3 linked regions of the Lonchura striata genome follow. The protein of the gene in region 1 purifies or fractionates together with the protein of each later gene. This does not show direct contact. Links are inferred from orthologs where the notes say so. Each region holds a gene or a part of one and is shown in the gene's direction. Other genes may lie near its edges. The genes, in order: ATP6V1A, ATP6V1F and ATP5F1C.

Region 1 (7,902 bases):
CCCTCCCAATCCTTCCTACTTTGTGGAATGTCTTAATCTGGTTATGGAATTAAACTCAAAGTGGTCAGAGTTATAAATCAGGTTAAAGTACCTATAATAAACTGAACTGATTTTTTTATAAACTCATTTAGAAGCTGTTAAGCCATTTGTAAGCTGGCATATAGGCAAGGTCTAAATTTACCGTCCATGAAAATAAATGCAGACTTTAGCTCACACTTGGACATTTCTAGGTTCAGAAAAAGCCTAAAAATAAAGTGATTTTCAAGCTCAATTACCTTTTTTGTCCTGACTCCAGTGCATATGACCATTCAGCAGTTTTCTCATAAACTTGGAACTTCCTCCCATATATGTTAAGCTTAGCACTGTGCCGAGCAAATGGAAACAATTCAGCAGCTCTGCACAAACTCTGTCATTCTAACTCAGGAGAGAAAAAACCCTCCCTGTTCTCCTCAGAAACATGATCATCTTCAGGACCTTGAAAGGTTTACTCCTTGAACCCAGGCAAAACAAGCAGAGGTATCAGAGCTTACCTTAACAACTCCCCACACTTTCAGAAACAACATAGTTATTTTTCTGTTCTATTCAGTACTCCCCAGCTGTGATGTCTCTCCTGCAAGGCAGCCAGAGCAGCACAAGCCTGCAAAGTCTCAGGGTTAGGAGGCAGCAAGTACCTGTTGTGTAGAATACAGCCTGTAGGACTCTTCCACAGCAAGTCATAAGGACCCTTAGAAACTACAAAACCTGAGACTTAGCTGCAAACACGACAAAGTTGAGAGGCAATCTCCTAGGAGAGTCCTACCCAATTTAGTGCACACTTCTTTCTAAGGCTGGTTTAACACACAGCGCTCTACTTAGTCCCTGCTTCAATCAGTTCTCCACCCCATGGCTCAAGATGTGCTGCTGCATGACAATCTCCCAGGTGTTTCATATCAAAACTGGAGATGTTAATGTGACAAAACAGCACATGCACAGGAGCCCAGGCACTGGGCCCTGCTTGTAACATGCCCTACCGGCTCCATGTATGTGACAATCCTGGTCACACCGCAGGTACATGCACGCAATGGAGCATGCAGGTCCTGCAATAGCCTTGTGTAATGTGATTTTTAGGTAAGGCCATCAGGGAAAGGCTGGATACCTTACTTTCATAGGTTTCATCTGAACTAAAACAAATTAGAAATGCACCCTTACTTTTAAGACAGCAAATGTCATGAACAGCAATCGGCAAATGCTCAAGAATCAGTGCAAGACTTTGAGTTTTCTCTCCTGAAAACCAGTAGCATAACAACTGGTAATGAAAACACAAAACCACTGAGCAACAAGTGAATCAACACCATGAATACAACAAAGTGCAGGGAGGATTATTTACATCTGCTATATAAAAACAGCCAGATTACTACAGACAGTGGAACCCGAGTCTCTTCCACTGGTATTTTTCCTCATGCAAACACAGTTCTAAAATAGATTTTCAAATTCAAGAACTAACAACAATAACATATAATAAATTAAAAAATAAATTAATCTCTACAGAATCACAAGATTCACTAACAGAACAGTGAATTACCTCAGTTTTTCAAGTCACATTTAAGAAAAAAAGGGAAACATAATGAGACTCTATTAAAATTATTCAGAAGGTGAGGATAGAGTGAACATAAAGCCAAGTCTCACAAAACCAGGTGAAAGCTAATAGCAGTTCCCAGTTGAGAAGATGGTGTTTAACTCATCAAATAAGAGAAAATCCACAAAATTGTAAGCAGCTGAGAAATCACAAAAATCTTCTGCTATTTCTGAAACCAGAGGGCCAGGGTAGAAGAGGTCACCTAACCTGAAATACCCTGATGACACAGACCCTACAACCTGCTATGCACTATTAACACACATCTATGTGCTATTTTGAATTCAGAGAGCTAAGAAAGAAGGCTGCAAGACACATACATTGACTACAGGGTCTTTCAGATCTGAAATTTCATGCCAATGAATCAGATAGTTTCTTTTTTTAATTCTTTGCCAAAGTAGACTCTTCATAATGACAGCTGATAAAACATCAGCTGCTCTAAGTGCTTCCAAAATCACCTCTGCATTTGGTGGTGTGGGTAACAATGCAGTGCATATATTCCCAGAAAAAACAGTCACAGGGCATCAGTTTGTTCAGAGGGACTTGTCCACAATTTTGGATTCAGTACTGAAGACAGACCAGATCCCTTCAAGCACATCAGTTTCTATATGCTGGGAGCTGGAGCTTTAGATCTATTTTTGGACCCATCCTTTGACAGTACTTGTACTTTAGGGATCTTCACCGATCCTTGTAACTTAAAAAACAATTTAGATCTTTTCCAAAGTACCCCTGTGTAATTTATACATTCCTTTTGAACTATTCTCTACTTCTTTGATTCTCATTGTATTTAAATGGGGATATTTTTCAATCTGAGCTCTGTCGGCATATTTGCCTCCATCTGAATTTTTAGAGAACACCTGGATTCAATATGAGGATCTGCACAGGAATATGAATTTATTCTGCACCAGAACTTTCTGTGTGGTGCTAACAGTGTTTTGGCAAGACAGGAATATGCTGTTCTTCAAAGAGATGAAAGAGTACCATAAGCAGAAATACCAAGTACAGAACCCAAAGCAATAAGCCCTAAAGTTGAACCAGAAACAAAGCTGTCTGTAAGTAAAAGTAAAGTGACAGAAATAAAGTTGGGTGCTCTGGAAGCAGAAGAGTGGTATGCAGGTTTTTTCTCCATAGCCTTTTATTTAAAAAAAAAAAAAAAAAAGTTACAAGAAGTAAAAAAGTCCATGAAATGAGAACTCCTGATCAGTGCAAGCAAAACCAGGCTCAGTTCCTCAGGGAGCACTGAGCACGACAGACAGCTCCAGCCATGCCCTGCTAGGAGATCCCCACAGCACCAGCCTGGCACGCCTGGGCCGCTTTCCCACTCACACATCCAGGTCCCAGTAACCCCATCCCATCACTGACACACGAGCAAAGCAAGGCTAAGCTGTTAGCAAACAGCAGAACGGTCAACAAAGGATAAAAGGAAACCCAGTTCTGTCGGGAGCGCTGCTGAACAACGATCGCATCAACTGCCACCTCATCCTGGCTGATCCGTGCTGCTGCTCTTCCCGCAAACTCCGGCGTCCTCATTACAAGGGGACTAAGAGTGGGGGTGTCCCTTTTTATGTAGGGTGGTGCAGGTGGATAAAGGTTTGTCCAATATCCCAAACACACCTATCTTATGTCAGCTGAGAGTTTGTTTATTTGCAGTCATCCCTGAACCTCTTTCTACAGACACCTGCCAGCCCCTCAGGATGCCTGAAGCTGCTTACACGCTGTAAAAACCAGCCAAGAGTCTGTTATCAAGCAGACTTGTATGACCTCACCCCTACTGCTAATAAGCTAAACCCCTTACCATTTCTTAGTAAAAGCTTAAGTGATTCAGCTTCCATTCACCCTGCCTTAAGCTGCCAAACTGGAATAATAATACCCATCATTGCATAACACCAGTTCCAAGGGGACGGTTTAATGCTCTTTTGAGAATCAGCTGAGGACAGCTTCCTTTGTGCCTGTGAAGAAACTGAGGCACAGAACTGGAACAAGCACGTTTTGTGGTGCACAAATGATGCTGAAATTAATAAACATTAGGTGGCTTAGCCAACATTGAAAAACCTGTCCCAAAGTGACCTGGACAAGGTCAGGCAGGTCATCTGACACCAAAGCACAACTGTGAGTGTAAAGGCCTCCGGTCTCCTGTACAGAAACGGCACCTCACTGCCCCCACTGAGAAGGAAATCAGTATTTTCAGCCACCCAGATTTGAAATCTCTAGTTTTCAGGAGACAGAAAGAAGCGATGCCAGACCCAAAGCAGCGGGTGTGCTACAGGAACATGACACAGGACACAGCTCGTTTGTCATCCATCTACGCTCTACAACCTCCACGCAGCAATTCAAGACTTAAAAAACCAACAAAAGTGCTAAGAGGATGTTACACACAATAGCGCTGCAAAACCACACACACCCGAGGCTGTCAGCTTTTTCGCACACAGTGAGCGGCGCTTCTTTGCTACCGCCAGACAAGGAGCAGCCAGGGAGGACAGCCCGGCCAGCATCCCCGCCCGCTCTGCAGATCCCAGACCCCGCAGGGCGGGATCCCCCCGAGCACGAGGAGCCGCCGCGTCCCGCCCGCTCCAGCGCGGGCTCAGCGCGGAGAATCCTCGCTCCGGCGGCGGCACCATCCTGACGGGCGGCTCCTGCTCAGCCCAAAGGGCGCCAGCGGCGACACCGCCGCCTTTTCTCCCCGGAGGGACGCCGGGCCACGGGCCCTGTCCCAGAGGGCGGGAGGGACGCAGCAACACCCCCCCGAGCTCCGAGGCGGCTGCACCGCTCGGCCCTCTCCGCCCGCCGCGCCGCCCGGGCCCGCCCCGCTCCCAGCTCCCCTCCCGGGCGGGCCCGGCCCGGGCCGAGCCCCGCACTCACCCCTTCATGGTGCGTCCGCGGCCTGCCCGGCGTCCGCGCTGGCTGCGTCCAGGGCCCGGCGGTGCGGGTGTGGCTCCGGCCTCCCCGTGCTCAGCGCGGGCAGCTCAGTCTCCTCCCGATCCCAATCCCGCTCCCGCTCCACATGGGCCTCCTCCCGCCCCGCCCCGCCCCGTGACCCCTCACCTCACGCCGCGCGCGCGTCCCCGCCCCGCCCGCCATGACCGCCCCGCCCCTCCCGCGCGCCCCCGCCGCGCACGCGCCGCGCCCGGCGGGGCGGGGAGAGGATGGGGAGGCCCCGCTCGTCTCGGGGACGGGGCGTGCTCGCTGTCACGTGACACGGAACCACCAATCGGCGCGCCCCACCGCGCCCGGCGCGCTCCTGCGCGGCAGCGGCCCCGGCAGGGCGGGCGAAGCTCCGCCCGGAGTCGGGCAGGGCTCGCGCCCGGCGCTTCCGGTGTGCGGCGCAGCGCATGCGCGCGGGGCCCGGCGTCAGCTGATCCAGCGCCTCCTTTGCCGCCGGCGGAGGGACTCGGGCGGATTCGGGCGCGCCGGGCCGGCCCAGGTGAGACGCCCGACCCCTCTCCCCCTGCCTCGCACCGCTGCCTCCGCCGCTCCCGAGCTGCGCCCGGGGCTGCCCTTCTCTGCGGTAAAGGAGCGGGGGGTCGGCTGTCGCCGCTCTCCGCCCCGCTCGCACCCTGCCCGGGAAGGACGCGGTCTCCCTGCGGAGCCGCTCGCAGGGGGAGCGCGGCCCCGGCGCTGCGGAGCGGCGGGAGCCGGGAGGGGGGCGGCCGGGCCGCAGGGAGCCGTGTCCCGGCGGCACGGCCCGCAGGGAGCCGGCCGTGCGCTTCCCGGCCCCGCTTCGCAGGGAGCGCAGAGCTGCAGAGCGAGGCAGCCCCTCAAGGAAAAACCGTCCGAGCGCTCGATCGAAGACACCCAGTGAGATGCTTTAGGGTTATGCCAGAATCCCTTACCGAAAAGAGACAGGGCGATAGCGGCTGGGTTCCAGCGCCAGGTCATCCCACCATCTTGAGTGGGTGGATCTGAATCTTTCGGTGCCTTGACCGCAGCGCAGCAGAGAGAGAGCAGCGCGGTTATGGAAGAGGAATTCCGCTGCGGGCTTCTCCCTGCAGCCATCCGTGGCAGAAGAACCCCCCTGTTGTTGCTTTGCAGTTGAATATCTTGGTGGCACATCAGATGTGCTTCCTATTCCTGTAGCCAGTGACAAAATTTTGCCTCAGATGAGGTGTTTCAGACATCACCCTTGGCATTCACTTAAAGGCAAGAGAAAAATCTTACACAGCTGGATTCTGGATGATATTGTTCATGTGACAGGTAGCTGTCACATTGGAGTATGTGACACTTGTGTCAGGATCCATCCATTCCGTGCAGCTGCCCAAAGTAATTTACTTTCTTAGGAGAAAGTGAAGTCTTCCTTCCTGAAATTTTACTGTCTTTTCTCATAGAATTTGCTCTTCTGCTGGGCATAAAAGCAATTTGGTGATCATTTTATTCATTGTAATGCAATACTTCAGCAAAGTACACTGGCTATTTGATCTAGCACGGTATTTTAAATGCTAATTCTGCTTGCTGAAGTGGAGAGGGGGTGGAAAAATAGGAAAACCTGCTGATAGACTGCTAGAAGTGATTTATTAGGAAGAACATGCGAAATACAAGCTGGCATTTGCAAGTGGAAGTTTGAGTAACTGAGGCAGATCTTCACTATGTTGTAAGTTGTGCTGTATTTATACTGACTTCTGCACTGTGCAGATCTGCAGCAGCTGAATGTTTGGCTTCTCTGTGCTTTCAAGGCCTTTTCAATGACCAGCAAATATAAACATGTAACAATATCTACGTTTTATTATTTTCTATGTAAGAATATGTGAAGTGAGATCAGAATCTACAGGTCTTTGAATTACCAAAAGTACTGCAGATTATTTTTGCTGTGCCTGTCAGTCTGTAATGCAAAATCCTCTGGAAAAGCTTTATTCTTTCATGTGGGGAAAAAATTAGTCTTAATTTTATGATCAGGTGGCAAAGTCTGACATTGAGAAGTACTAAATCACCATGGACATCAGCTTGAGAGAACAGGGAAGGACAAATTAAGGCAACAGTGGAAAATGGCTGCTGGCATCAGCTGACTGTTCAAAGGGGGGTTGCAGTCTTGTGTTGCAATAGTAACACAAGATCTCTGTTTCCCGTAAATACTGCCTTGTGGTTTTCCAAATCAAGAATTATTTTCTACAGGTAGTGCTAATAGGGTTGAGCCATGAGTGGTTAGTGTAGCTTCATTTTTATAGAGCATTAGCTTAAATTTAGCTTTTGTTTTGGTCTAAGTGTGTATTAACAGTTTTATGCCTCATTTGCCCTCATTTATGAAGGCTGTGGGCCTTAAGTGTCCTTCTGTTATCTAAATTTTTTTCCCAGGATGACTTCATGCATTTATCTCCCAGACTTGCATGGTGCTGGTGTTACACATTGTCATCCAAAGCTCCTATAGACCAGCAGGTTACCAGATGATTCCCCTGAAGATCCTTTTAGAGGCACTGTGCATTCCCCCTTGTGATTTCATGCCATAATGGTTGTCTTTGGGTTCTCAAGCCCTGAAAGTTCCTACTGATGGGTTTCCCTCTTGCTTTGAAATTGCATGTTTATGAGCTATGGCTGCATTCCTAATTACTCTTTTAGAAAGAGTAAAAGGATTGCAAGATAATCTCGTTGAGCTCTTTGGTTACTTTAATGTTGACCATAAAATGTTGAATGCTACGTCTGAGCAAGTAGTAATACCTCTGTTTTTTTCTCTTTTTAAGAAAACCCTACAAAATGCAAACCATGCAGCAACCCAATGCTACATTGCCTGAAATATATTCTTTTCTCCATGCTTGTTTTGTAGGTTAAAAAATAGGGGATTTCAGACTTGGAAATACTGAGGCATTGTTGAACAATGGTATCCGTATGATTTTTTTTTTTTAGGCTGGAATTTGGCCAATGAAAACAGACCATGCAGTCAACTGGAATATCATGCTCATTCATTTTTACTGAACATCTTAAAACATGTGACTTCTTTAGCCTTCCAGCTGGGCAGAGAGAAACAGGGTCCTACTCCAGCCGAAGAAGCAGAATGAATTTAAACTTTTCAGCCTTTTTTTTTTCCTACAGAATAAGCCAATAATCACCTAAATCTCCAACATGCAAAACTGGTTTTGACTGGATCTTCTGTTTGTCATTGTTGTATCTTTTATGGTATAAAAAGCTTTTTGCTTGTCTTTGATGCTCTCTCTCCACTTTTCCCTTTGTGAGTGGACAGCTAAGCTTATACCAAATTCTTGGGTTTGGTCATCTCTCATGGCATTAAGTTCTGCACTTATAAATATTTTTTGGTTGGTTACTTTATTTCATCCAAGCATTTATTTCTTCTGTGTCTGTCAAGCTCT
Region 2 (5,471 bases), on another chromosome or scaffold:
ACCCTGGGGCACCCCTGGGCTCACAGATGCCCCTTGGATCCCCAGATCACTCTTGGGCTGTGCTGAGCCCCAACTGCACTCTTGGGATGCCCACTGTGTGCCACCTTTGGGTCTCCTGTTGCACCCTTGGACCCTCTGAGGCCACTTCTCCCTCCCTCATGTCACCCCTAGATCACCTTTATGTCCCTCTGTGCCAGCCTTGATGTCCCTTGTATCACATTGCACCCCTGTGTCACCCTTGGTGCCCATGGTGTTCCCCCTGTCCCACTGCCCCCCGCCATGTCCCCCCATTCCCTGGAGTGAACCAGCTGGCATCATTCACAATATCCCCCTGTCCCCCCGTCCCTGATGCCACTGTGGCCTGCCCACAGGAGACAGTGGCAGTGAACCAGCCAGCATCTTTCGCGGTGCAGCTGAACGGGGCACGCGGCGTCATCGACGCCAAAGTGCACACGCCTGCAGGGGTGGTGGAGGAGTGCTACGTGTCCGAGCTGGACAGCGGTGAGGGGACACGGGGACACCACAGGGACCGTGGGGACAGCGGGTCTGCAGATGTGGGGTTGTGGGCACAGGGTACAGGACATGGGGACATGTGATGTGGGGACATGGGGCTGAGAACAGGAGGACATGGGGTATGGGGACAAAGTGACATGATGGCATCCCCCAGACTAGTACACACTGGAGTTCTTGCATGGGATGTGGAGACACAGGGATGTGGGGACATGGGACATGGGGACAGAGGACACAGAGGTATGGGGATGTGTCTTTGTCCCCCTGATATGCACTGGGGTTCCTGCTGTGCAGGAACAGGGTGTGGGGACATGGGGACACGGGGACATGGGGACACGGTGACATGTCTGTGTCCCCCAGACCGGTACGCCCTGGGGTTCCTGCCACGTGAGAACGGAGTGCACTCCATTGACCTGCGCTTCAATGGGCGCCACGTGCCCGGGAGCCCCTTCAACATCCGCGTGGGCGAGCAGAGCCAAGCCGGGGACCCTGGGCTCGTCACTGCCTTTGGGCCAGGCCTCGAGGGTGGCCGCACAGGTGACACTGCTGTGGAGACATGGACAGGGCTGTGGGAGTGGGGTGGGGAAAGAGACACAGCTGTGGTGGTGGCAGGAGAGACACGGCTGTGAAATGGTGATGGGGACAGAGCCATGATGGAGATGTGGCCATGGGTGATGACCACGACGGCATCCTGGTGTTCCCCCTATGATGCCATCCCCATGTCCATGTCCCAGGGGTGCCCTCAGAGTTCCTGGTGCAGACAGCCAATGCGGGGGCAGGAGCACTGGCTGTCACCATTGATGGCCCCTCCAAAGTGGAGCTGGACTGTACAGAGGTCCCTGAGGGCCACCGCGTCACCTACACCCCGATGGCTCCTGGCAACTACCTCATCTCCATCAAGTATGGGGGCCCCCACCACATCGTGGGGAGCCCCTTCAAGGCCAAGGTCACTGGTATGAACAGGGGGGACATGGGGATGGGAAGGGCCATGGGTATTGGGAGGGACGTGGGGATAGAGAGGAACATGGAACTAGCGGGGACATGGGAACTGAAGGGGACATGGGGACCACTGGGGCCACATCATGGGCAGCCCCTTCAGGGCCAAGGTCACTGGTACAGATGGGGTGTGGGCAGACACGGGGATGGGGGGCATGGATAAGGGAGACTGGGGGTGGAGAACATGGGGGTCCCCAGTATGAGATGACGAGGGGTCAGTGATGGGCATGACGGAGGTTTGCAGGAAGGCCACCCTATAGGACCAGGGTGACATGAGTGGGGGGTCCTGGGGGTGACATGGTGTAGGATCCCCAGGATGACATGATGGGGGTGCCAGGGGGAGGGGGGTTGTCCCTGGAAGATGCCCCCCCGCGCAGTGTGAAGGGGAGTCCCATGGTGGGGGCTGACCGTGACCCCTGGTACTCCCCAGGCCCACGGCTGTCGGGCGGACACAGTCTACACGAGACCTCGACAGTGCTGGTGGAGCCGGTGGTGAGGGCGGGCTCGCGGGGCCCCCCGGCCTTTGGGGGGCTCTCCAAGGCCCCGTCAGACGCTGGGCAAGTGGTGGCCCGGGGGCCAGGGCTGGCGGCCGCCCGCCTGGGCCACAAGAACCACTTCACCGTGGACTGCAGCAAGGCTGGTGAGGGCGCCGGGGGTCCAAGGATTGGGGTGGCTGAGGGGGGACCGGGTTGGAAGGGCAGATGGGGGCTTGGCGTGGCGGTCCAGGGGCTCCTAGGGGAGTCCTGTGGGGGCTTGGAGGAGAGGCAGTGGGTCTGCGAGGTGTTCAGGGAATTCCGGGGAGTCTTGAGAAAGGATGGGGCAGGTTAAAGGGGGGCCTGGGGGTCTTGGGAGGGGATGGGGTGGGTAAGGGGAAGAGTCTGGTGGAGGGTCTGGGGCGCAAGGGGGGAGGCTTGGGGTGACCCCGGGGTCTCACGCTTACGGTTCACCCTGCCCGCGTCCCCCCAGGTACAAACATGCTGCTGGTGGGGGTGCACGGCCCCAAGGCCCCGTGCGAGGAGGTGCACGTGAAGCACGAGGGGAACCGCGTGTACACGGTGACCTACAGTGTGCGGGAGCGCGGCGAGTACGTGCTGCTGCTGCGCTGGGGCGACCGCGACGTCCCGGGGAGCCCCTTCCGTGTCACTGCGGCCTGAGCCCCCGAGCCGGGGCAGCGGGCTGGCAATAAAGCGTTGGGAGAGGAACAATGTCCGAGTGATGGCCGGGACACTCACAGCGTGGGGCTGGAGCGAGCCAGGCTCCCGGAGCAGTCTGCTGGACACTAGCTCCAGGGCTGTCCTGAGCAAGACACCACATTTCTGGGGTGTGCAGAACAGCACAGAAGCCTTTGGGGGCGGCCCTGGGGGTCTGGGCCAGGATTGTGGGGCCCGAGGTGGGGGTCCAGAGCAGGACATCCCGGTCCTAGGGAGTGGGGGGGGATCCTGGGGGCTGCAGGATGGTATAATGAGGCCCCAGTGTGAGATGGTGGGGTCTGGAACAGAATACTGGAGATGGCCTGGGAGGGTCTGGAGCAGAATGCTGAGTCCTGAGGGGTCCAAGGGGATTCCATGGCAGAACAGCCTGGGGGTTTCAGGCGGTCCAAGGGGACTCCATGGCAGGACAGTCTGGGGATCTTGGGGGGTTCAAGGGGACTCATGGTAGGACAGCCTGGGGGTCTCGGGGGGTCCAAAGGCATTCCATGGCAGGATAGCCCGGGGGTCTTGGGGGTCCAAGGAGACTCCATGGCAGGACAGTCCAGGGGGTCTCAGGCAGTCCAAGGGGATTCCATGTTGGAACAGCCCGGGGGTCTCGGGGGTCCAAGGAGACTCCATGGCAGGACAGCCCGGGGGTCTCGGGGGGTCCAAGGAGACTCCATGGCAGGACAGCCCAGGGGGTCTCAGGCAGTCCAAGGGGATTCCATGTTGGAACAGCCCGGGGGTCTCGGGGGTCCAAGGAGACTCCATGGCAGGACAGCCCGGGGGTCTCGGGGGGTCCAAGGAGACTCCATGGCAGGACAGACCGGGGGTCTCAGGGGTTCAAGGGGACTCCATGGCAGGACAGCCCGGGGGTCTCGGGGGGTTCAAGGGGACTCCATGGCAGGACAGCCCGGGGGTCTCGGGGGTCCCTGCCAGTGTGCTCAGGGTTGCCTGCGGGGCCCGTGCCGTCTGCTAGAGGGCGCTGTGCAGGGTAGCGCAGCGTCCCCTGAAGGGCACGGCGCAGTGCGCATGCGCGCTTCGCGGGGCGGGGCCGGCGGAGGGGGTGGGGCGATGACACCGGGGGGCGGGGTCATCGGGGCGCGGCTCCTCCCACGGCGGCGGGCGGGGCCGGCGGCGTTGCCGGGCAGCGGCGGGCGGGGCGCTCCGGGGGCGGCGGCGGCGGAACCCGGAAGCGGCGGCGGGTCCCGGTCGGTCCCGGCGGGTCCCGGGCGGTCCCGGCCGGTGCCGAGCCCCACAGCCGCTCCCGGCGGCGCACCCCCAGCCCGCCGGCGCCCGGCAGCGGCTTTCCCGCGGTCCGTATCCCGGCGGATTCCGTTCCCAGCGGGCCCTGGGCATGGCGGGCCGTGGGAAGCTGATCGCGGTGATGGGCGACGAGGACACGGTGACCGGGTTTCTGCTGGGCGGCATCGGGGAGCTGGACAAGCACCGGCGGCCCAACTTCCTGGTGGTGGAGAAGGAAACCAGCCTGGCGGAGATCGAGGAGACGTTCCGGTGTGTGCGGGGAGGAAGGCGGCCCGAGGGCCCGGAGCGGGTCACTGAGGTTCGGGGTGCCGAGGGGTCCCTGGGTGGCCTTGTCCGTCCCAGTGGCTCTCTGAGGGGATCCAGGCGGGTTCTGGGCTCTGGCGGGTCACGGAGTTCCAGGAGGGGAGGCAGAGGCTGGCAGGATCGGGCCGGGGTGCCGGGAGTGTCCCGGGGTCGGGGCCCGAGGAGCCCGAGGAGCGTTCCCCCGCTGGGGCGCCCAGGGCGGTCGCTCCGTGCCCCTCACTCTCCCCTTTCTCCCCTTGGCAGGGGTTTCCTGGCGCGGGAGGACGTGGGCATGATCCTGATCTCGCAGGCGCTGGCGGAGCAGATCCGGCCGGCGGTCGCAGCCCACGCCCGGGCGCTGCCCGCGGTGCTCGAGATCCCCTCCAAGGACCACCCCTACGACCCGGCCCGGGACTCGGTGCTGCGCCGCGCCCGCGGGCTCTTCGCGCCTGACGAGCTGCGATAAAGCCCCCCGGACCCCCGGCCCTCCCCGCACTCCCCTAAATCCTCCCAGATCCCACGCTAAGCTCCCCCAGACAGTTCCCCGGTGCCTCCCGTGTGTGCAGGCCCCCGCGGCACGCCCGAACTGTCCCCTGTGCCCGTGGCCTCTCCGCACCCAGCCACGGGTGACGAGCACCCCCAGACAGCCCCCGCCACCTTCCCAGCACCCCCAAACCGTCCTCCACCGCTCCCCCGACTTCTTCATACTCGATGACTGTGGTAGCCCTCCCTGGTACCCCAAAACAGCCCCTGACACCCACGGGGTCACAAGCCAGGCCTGGGGGTCTCCACCTCAGGGAAACTCACCCAGGGGCCATTGTGCCCCATGCCTGGGGGTCCCCATCCCAAGAAATCCCCAGCCCATCCCAGGGTGCTGCTGGGGGGGTCCCTGGGTTTCCCAGGGTGTCCTTCGGGGTCTATGGTTGCTCCGTGGCTGTGAGGGTGACGCAAGGAACCTCGTGTGTCACTGAGGGTGCCTGGGGTGCCACAGGGGCCCTGAGGGTGACCCGTGACCATGTCTCAGCCGTGTCCCGTGATGGGGAAGTGCCACCACCGTATCCTGCTGAATCCTGCTGGGTCCTGCCTGTAGGCAGGGAGGGACACCAGGGTCAGGGAAAGGAACACCTCAAGGACACTGGGAGTTGTCACTGTGACCTTGTCACCATTCCCCCAGCTCCTCTCCAGCCTCCTCAGCCCCAGCAGAACCTGGGGAGAAGGTTATTTATT
Region 3 (7,962 bases), on another chromosome or scaffold:
TTTTCTGTCTGGCACATATCCCATCAGATACCTTATCTAAGAGCTGAGTGAGATGAGGGAAAAGCTTTCTTTTTACCTGGAATACATTTAATTACAATATTGCCTCACATGAGAAGATGTACTGTTCAACAAACAGTTCCCCAGACTGCTGTAATTCAGAATTATTTGCATTATTGATCCCTTTTGTCCTGCACTGCTTGTGGTCACAAGATGACAATTAAATTCCAGAGCTCTGGGAAGATTTATTTCAGGTAGATTTAGCTGCTTAAACGATGACCAAAGAAAGCATTGCCTCCAATTAGACAAGGCAATCAAACCTTTTAGGAACTAAAATTAACAAGTCAGGAATATCTATTCATAGAAGGCAGCTGGGACTAGATGGCATCACTGCAAAAGCTTGGCTGGATCCCTTTCCCACCCTCCATGGAGGAACCTGTGACTGCCTGTTACTGTATGGACATCTGCCATGAAGCACAGAGAATTCAAGAAGGCTCCTCACAGCTCACATTTAAGCTACACCCACTCACCCATTTTAAATACAAAACCAACCATGAAGTCACCTAGTCACCCTTCTGAACACCAAGAGAGGATGAGAGGTTAGACTCCAAATATATCAGGACAAGACAATCCTTCCTGTTCATACAAATACCATTGTCATAGAAGTGCTTTGTAACAGTAAAGGTTGGCCTGAAATTCTTTTCTCACCTTGTTTTAGAAGATGCTGCGACTGAAGTACTTGCTCCTTTGTTTAAATTAAATGTAACTAAAAAAATAAAGAGACATTACTCTATTTCTATATTTTAAAATAACTGCATTGAAGGATGTTAACAATTTTTAAAATCTGCAAATAGAAAGGAATCATAAATTTGAAAATATTTACTAATCTATACTTTGGTTTAGCTTTTAAAGTCAATTAAACTTTGTAATACAGAATACTCTGCATTTCCACATTCCAATGCTCTTTATAACTGATCTCAAAGTACCAAGCAGGCTTCAATGCTCATTTCATCTGAATCACAAAAATTACATCCATCAAAATCTAGTTACCTTTTTCTTCTTCGTTTTCTCTATTCAGTTCAGTATAGACTGGCATTTCCTGCCAAATAAAAAAAACCAAGCACATTTAAAAAATCAAACAGAAAACTGAGTCAAGGTATCATAATCATTGATCAGCTCAGTTTTACAGACAGTAACTGTAATATTCAACCTGGCCTGATTTGTAAAAGATTAAAATTGAAAACATCATCTCACTACAGGCTCCTGTGCAACTCTCCAATTAATAGAGATGCTGCCTAAACTCGCTCAATTTCAGCATAAAAGGCAAGTAGCCTTGATGCATCAGTTTCCTCTATCTGAACCAGCATGATCTGACTGGTTTCTGGAAAGACTAATAATTCAAATAAGGAAATTCTGGTATCTTTCCAATTTTTTGGCACCGAAGACTCAGACCATTTAAATTTCAATTAATTTTAAATTAAGAAGCAGGTAATTGCTTACAACAGCATTTAAATGTAACTATCAATACCCAGGATCAAATGGGAGATTTCAGCCCCAGGCAACGCGTATGGGGGTCATAGCATGATGCCAAGTAAACAGATCCCAAATAACCACCAAAATAGAACTTTTCACTAGGTGAACTTGATTATGCCAGATCCCCCTGGTTATTTATCTCAGCCTCCTCAATGCACCAGGTACTTGTTATCTGCAGCCCTACATAGCTGTGAAATACCACAAATTAAGACATCATGCAGCTTAATGGATTATTTGCTCCTGCTTTGTAAATTCTAGAGTGATTTTTAAATCACTAATCACTAGAAGAGCAGTAATTATTTCTTCTTTACTACTACTGCAAGCTGGGTACAATGTAATCCAAGTTAGGAAGCAAAGGAAATACCAGTGCAAGGCTTCCAGGAGCATCAAACTCCCCACTGACTTAACCACAAGAGCTTTGAGCTGAAGGTTCACACAGAGTGCAATTTTTCTCACCAGTTCTTTCCCCTCCAAACCTCTTCTAACTTGTTGCTCAATGAATTTAGCAGTTTTTTCCTCGTCATCAAGGTCCTGTTTCTTCTTCCTCTCTTGTTCTTGCTGCCTGCGAATGGTCTCTGGGTCCCTGTCAATGTACTGAATGTACCAGCCTTTAGGAGTCTCATCAACCTTGCAAAGACCTAAAAGGTCAAGCAAAAACAAAGTAAAATTAACAATATCAAGATCATTTTTAGTCCATGTTCACTGTAGCAATGCAGATACTTCACCAGAGACAAGTGGGCTGCTAAAACTGACTTTGAATTATCTGTACCACGTGTTTCTGCCCTCAGCTACCCAGATGTGTTTGGACACAGGCCAGTGTACATCACAAAGGGCATGAAGTGTTTTACAAGACTTTCCTTATTGAAGAAAATGTTTCCTTCCCACTGTTTTAACAAGGAAGAAGACAGAAATCTAGCATGTATAAATGATATGCACTCACAGTACCATACTAAAGGAAATATTGCAGTACTGTGCTATTGTTACCAACTCTGGCAAGAGACTTTCCAAACTCTGCAACTGCTGGATGTATCCTGAAGAGCAAGGGCATCCAGAGCCAAAGTAAACTTTCTGTCACACCACAGTGCCATTAAATCTCTCTTCCTCCCACTAAACACAGAACTGCAGATCTCCAGCTCTAACCCTTCCACTAGGCCAGGAATTAAAGTGACTGCTTGCTTCTTGTCACCTCAGACATGGAAATAATCTGTAATTTTTAAATGGCAACTGTTAGCAGTTGATTCAGAATTTAGCAGTGTATCCAGTAAATACAGACCAGCAGATGAAAGCAAGAAAAGCTCACAAGTGATGTACTCATCCCAGACGTCTCACATTTTCCACAAGCAAACTCCTAATGGTTAGCACAGAAATATGTTTGGAAATCTTTTCTTGTATATACAGGAGGAGAGGGGAAGAAAGAAAAAAGAACTAACATATTTACTGATCAATTACCAAGAATTCAATTACCCAATAATTTTAAGACTTCCCTGAGCAGGTACACCTACCTTCTCTCCCCAGCCATTTTGTAAAATCAGTCAGTGTCTCCCACTGTGTGGCATTCATGTGGATGTGTTCTCGATGGCTGATGTATTCATTGTACACAATATTATTGTGGACTCTCTTTGTTCCTAAAATACAGAATTATTATTACTATTATGTAGCTTGCACTGAACCAACAAAAGACACTAAGAAAAACAAAAAAACAGCAAAATATTTACCAAATCGCCTTCTGAGCAATTCTAGGAAATCATTTCGGAATTCCCTAAGGAAATAAAAAAAAAAATATCTTTAGTAAGCTTTAACAACTAAGAAGCAATTTTCTGCTGTCATTAAGAATTAAACATCTCATTACTCTTTTGAGCTGAGTGTGACAATATTCAGACACATTTCCCTTTTGCAGCAGACCAGGATCAAACACAGGATGAAACACAATATGATACATGCACACACCTCAAATGTACAAGACAGTAACAGCCTCTCAAAGGCATAAAATGGAGCAAAGGAATCTCAACACTTCCCACTAATTGCTGGTGTTTGGTTACCAGGTGTCTTCCCAGGCTGACAGACACAGAGCAGAGGGCAGGACAAAGGGCAGAGGAGTGGATGGAGCAGATGGATCACTCATCTCCCTGCTAATTCCCCAGGGCTGCAGCATAAAACCTCACTTCAAACTCGTGCTGAGGACAGTTCCAGTCATCCCAGCTGTCACGTAAGTCAGCTGGACAAAGGCCTGGGAGAAGCTGGGGCATATCAGTCCCTCCCCTGACTTGCTCTTTCATTGTTATGGCTCTTTTAGCTTGTGTGTGTGTGGCAGTCATTCAGCAGGGACAGAAAAGTGATGTATTTTTAACACAGAGCAACTTTAAACAGGATTACAACATGAGACAAAACTGAATAAAATCATGAAATCTCTTATCTAAAGTTTAAACGTGGCATTGTAATTTTCAATTACAAGAAGACCTGACACTAACATGTATCACAATAAAGTGTCTTCAATGGGGCATTATTGGATCTTAGGGGTATGGCTGTGCAAACCTGACACAGGCATGAAGATCTGGGTAAGAATATACAGAAAACTTACTCAGAGAAATAATCCATGAATTGCTGAGGATTTTCAGAAGCCAGCAGCAACTGCCTCTGGTGAGACTCAGACATGCAGTGACATTTGAAGCCATTCTATAAAGCAGAAATAAATACTTGGCTTGTCTTCGTCTCATTTTGCAACACTCACAGATGAAGAGATTACTAAAAATCCTACAAATAAACTACTACAAATAAACTCCTACAAGTATGATCGCAGCTCCCACAATGTTCCCCTCGATAGCACTGGGGACATTTACAAGGGAGATTGACAGAACGAGGGACAAGGGCTTCAGACTGATAGGGGGCAGGGCTAGATGGGATATTGGGAAGAAATTCTTCCCTCGGAGGGTGGCGAGGCCCTGGCACAGGGTGCCCAGGGCAGCTGTGGCTGCTTCATCCCTGGAAGTGTCCAAGGCCAGGCTGGACAGGGCTTGGAGCATCCTGGGACAGCGGAAGGTGTCCCTGCACATGGCAGGGGGTTGGAAGTGGATGAGCTTTAAGGTCCTCCCAAACCAAGCCATTCCATGAGATCGGAGCTGCCACAAGAGCTGACCCCAGGAGAACCGGGACTCCTTCCTTAGACGGGGACCGGAGCCGCCCGAAGGAGCGGGGACCCCCCCAGCGCCCGCAGTTACCTCATCACGGCACTGTTTCTGGCACATCTGGCAGTACCAGCGCAGCTTCTGCAGCCCCTTCGACTTGATGCGGTTGGCGATGGCCTTGGGGCTGAGGAAATCCGACTTCCCCATGACGCCGGTCAGGTCCTGGTCCTGGTTCTGTTCCCGGTCCCGGTCCCGGTCCGGCTCCCGCCCCCTCCGGAAATGGCGGCGGCGCCCTGGAAGCGGATCCCGGCGGGGCCGCGCAGGCGCGCTGCGGGCGCGCTGACCTTCAGCGGGGCTGTGGTGGAGGCGCCGCCATGTTCGCCCGGGGCGGCGCGGTCGCGCTGGTCCAGCCGCAATGGTACCGGCACGGGCTGGGACGGGCGCTCTGGGCACGGGGGAACGCGTCCCGATGGCCGGGGCGGCTCTGCGGGGTGAGGGGGGGATGGCTTCCCTTGGCCGTGCGGCGCCTGGGGGCGGCGGGGTCGCGGCCGCGGGCGGCCCGTCAGGGGCTGTGGGCTCTGAGGGGAGGTGGCGGAGCCGGTGCCGGGAGATGAGGGCAGCGGGGACCCGCAGGGAGGGAGGCTCCGTCCTCGGTGGGTGGGAGAATGGGACAGGCAAGGGTTAAAGGGACAAGTTTATACATGGCAGGAGACCCTGCTCTGGCCTCCTCTGCTTCGTTTTAATAGCCTTTAGAAATGAATTGCATTGCACGAAGCTTTGTTTAAAAATATTTCTTTCTAATTTGCCCTTCTAATGCCCTCGTTTGCCCCGTGCCCTTAGCCGAGGCGTTAAACCTTTCTCTGTGCTCGGCGCTGCCGAGTCCTGGGGCCGCTTCGGGGCCCCTCAGCTCAGGGAGGACTCGGAGGTGCAGGGGCGAGTCCGGAGAAGGGGAACTGGGAAGGGTCTGGAGCCCAAGTCCTCTGAAGAGCAGCTGGAAGAGCTCAGCCTGGAGAAAAGGAGGCTCGGGGTGACCTTATCACTCTACAGCTCCCTGACAGCGCAGCGCAGTCAGGTGGGAGTTGGCCTCCTCTCAGCGACATGACAACACAGGTTTAGGTTGTTTCTTCACAGTTTCTTCACAGAAGTCGTGGTTAGGCATTGGAATGAGCTGCCCAGGGAGGTTGTGGAGTCCCTGTCCCTGGAGGTATCTGCAGAAAGACTGGATGTAGCACTCAGTGCCCGTGGCTTAGTTAGGGCACCACTTAGATAAGGTGGTGTTCAGTCATAGGTTGGACTTGATGGTCTCAGAGGTCTTTTCCAACCTAATTGATTCTGTGAAATTATATAAGGTAGGGAAGGATGAAGGTGTGCATGCAAGCCACAGGTAAGAGTGGCTTCTCTCTGCCACACGTTTTGTAAGAAACAGCAACATCACCCTGAAAGGGACTTGCCCTTGGCAGGTGTTGGTTTGCTGGAGAGCTAGTGAATTATCCTAATTTCTCCTGCATTCCTTTTCAGGGGCCAAGTCAGGAATATGGCAACGCTAAAAGACAGTAAGTAAAGGGTTTAACTGCTCTTGAGAGAGGCAAAATGTTGCAGGAAAGCCATATGTTGAAAACCATATGTTAAAGCATACTGTTTAGCCTCTGTTGGGTATGATTGTGATGTATAACAATGATATATAGGCCTGCAGTGCTAATCACATTAAACAAGTGTCCTTCAGAAAAGGAGTTGCTTGAAGTGGCTTTGGCAGTAATTTAAATGTCTTTTTATAGTTTTACTCAAATAGATTTTAAAAATATTTTTACTGTATGTGCTAAACCAGATTTCTGCTCACCTATAAGAGTTAACTTAGTTTATCTTATGTTTATTTCCTTGTGCTTTTGTGCAGCATTTGGGGGGAAAAAGGATTGACTGAATGGTTTCAGTGTGATAATGCTTCCTTAAGCCATCCCTCATAGTTCTTATATAGGGATATTGCCTTGGAATTGTGCTTGTCAATGGGATACCTGTTTTGGTTATTTTTTGCATTAGTGTTTTTATAAATGTCATTTTACCACAGTCTAAACAGAGGAGGAAATTTATTCTGTCTTCACACTATGGGGACTTTTTTGTTTGTTTGTTTCCTCTGCTTGTCATCTGTGAAAGATGACATTATACCTCAAATAATATATTTGTGAAACAGGTAGAGGTGGAAGCAAAGAGAATAGTAAATAGACTTCATGTTGGGATAAATACTAAATGAATGTTATATCTGAAGGAGATAACATCTCTATTGTAAAGATGAATCTGTGTTAGCTACATTCTTAGTCTTACTGCAAGTACCAAGGTCTTTCATGAGGTTTATTTCTGTGATGTTTGTTTATTTATTTCTTCTTCTTTGAGGAACATGGCAAAATATTTTTTTATGGCTCTTGCTGGCATTTTGTTGTTTGGGCTTGAGTCACAGTGCCCAGTACAGCCCATGACCTTCAACTCTTAACCTTGCAGTCACCAGGCGTTTGAAGTCCATCAAGAACATCCAGAAGATCACCAAGTCCATGAAGATGGTTTCTGCAGCCAAATACGCAAGAGCTGAGAGGGAGCTGAAGCCTGCGAGGGTCTATGGAACAGGAGCTCTGTGTGAGAGAAAGATCTTGCACTTAGTGATGGGGGATTAGAAGAGGAGGTTTTCATAGTGGTGATAAAATGCCAAGGCTTTTTAACCTTCCAGTAGTCTGTTTCCAAAAGAATTTGCACAGTGAACTTCACTGAGTGACATCTGATCAGAGCTGTGACTGGCTCTGAATTGTTTATTCCTCACTTCTGGTCTGACCGTGTGCAAACTTGGAACAATTGCAAAGGAGATAAAATTAATCTGGCTGAGATCTGGAGCCCCTTTGGTATTGGTTTTAGTTAGAATATTTCAGAGCATTTTTTATTACTTACTAGCTTTTTTGGCACCCTTGAAAAATGTTATGATCTTTTTTTTTTTTTCAGCTCTGTATGAGAAAGCAGAAATAAAGCCACCTGAGGACAAGAAGAAGCACCTCCTTATTGGTGTGTCCTCTGACCGAGGCCTGTGTGGTGCTATCCATACATCTATTGCTAAAACCTTGAAGAATGAAATTACCAACCTCTCAAATGCAGGGAAGGAGGTTATGGTGGTTGGAGTAGGTGACAAGATCAGAGGCCTGCTTCAAAGGTAAAAAGGATGGGGTCCAAAAGTTTAGTTTAGAGTTTTGTTGTCTCTGGTAGAAATTTCAAGACTGTAGGATTGTGTGCCATTGGCAGGAAATTGCATTTAAGGGAACTGTGTTAAATTCAAGTT

The links.
Region 2: the proteins of ATP6V1A (region 1) and ATP6V1F fractionate together in Homo sapiens (co-fractionation; 3 studies listed by BioGRID and IntAct, with this or other methods). This does not show direct contact. The link is inferred for Lonchura striata from reciprocal best matches to the Homo sapiens genes ATP6V1A and ATP6V1F.
Region 3: the proteins of ATP6V1A (region 1) and ATP5F1C fractionate together in Homo sapiens (co-fractionation; 3 studies listed by BioGRID). This does not show direct contact. The link is inferred for Lonchura striata from reciprocal best matches to the Homo sapiens genes ATP6V1A and ATP5F1C.

Annotation. Positions count from the first base shown.
Region 1 is NC_134604.1:28,288,778-28,296,679, forward strand, and holds the start of ATP6V1A (V-type proton ATPase catalytic subunit A), read left to right. Parts: upstream 1-4,900; 5' UTR 4,901-5,033; intron 5,034-7,902. UniProt on the Homo sapiens protein: Catalytic subunit of the V1 complex of vacuolar(H+)-ATPase (V-ATPase), a multisubunit enzyme composed of a peripheral complex (V1) that hydrolyzes ATP and a membrane integral complex (V0) that translocates protons.
Region 2 is NC_134607.1:73,138,923-73,144,393, forward strand, and holds ATP6V1F (V-type proton ATPase subunit F), read left to right. Parts: upstream 1-3,906; 5' UTR 3,907-4,053; coding exon 4,054-4,211; intron 4,212-4,508; coding exon 4,509-4,710; 3' UTR 4,711-4,920; downstream 4,921-5,471. Other genes in the region: FLNC (filamin-C), read left to right, coding at 372-501, 871-1,047, 1,245-1,463, 1,937-2,146, 2,473-2,660. UniProt on the Homo sapiens protein: Subunit of the V1 complex of vacuolar(H+)-ATPase (V-ATPase), a multisubunit enzyme composed of a peripheral complex (V1) that hydrolyzes ATP and a membrane integral complex (V0) that translocates protons.
Region 3 is NC_134607.1:68,976,483-68,984,444, reverse strand, and holds the start of ATP5F1C (ATP synthase F(1) complex subunit gamma, mitochondrial), read left to right. Parts: upstream 1-4,941; 5' UTR 4,942-5,026; coding exon 5,027-5,070; intron 5,071-6,170; coding exon 6,171-6,205; intron 6,206-7,142; coding exon 7,143-7,274; intron 7,275-7,631; coding exon 7,632-7,836; intron 7,837-7,962. Other genes in the region: KIN (DNA/RNA-binding protein KIN17), read right to left, coding at 706-763, 1,048-1,096, 1,987-2,168, 3,033-3,155, 3,246-3,289, 4,109-4,203, 4,746-4,859.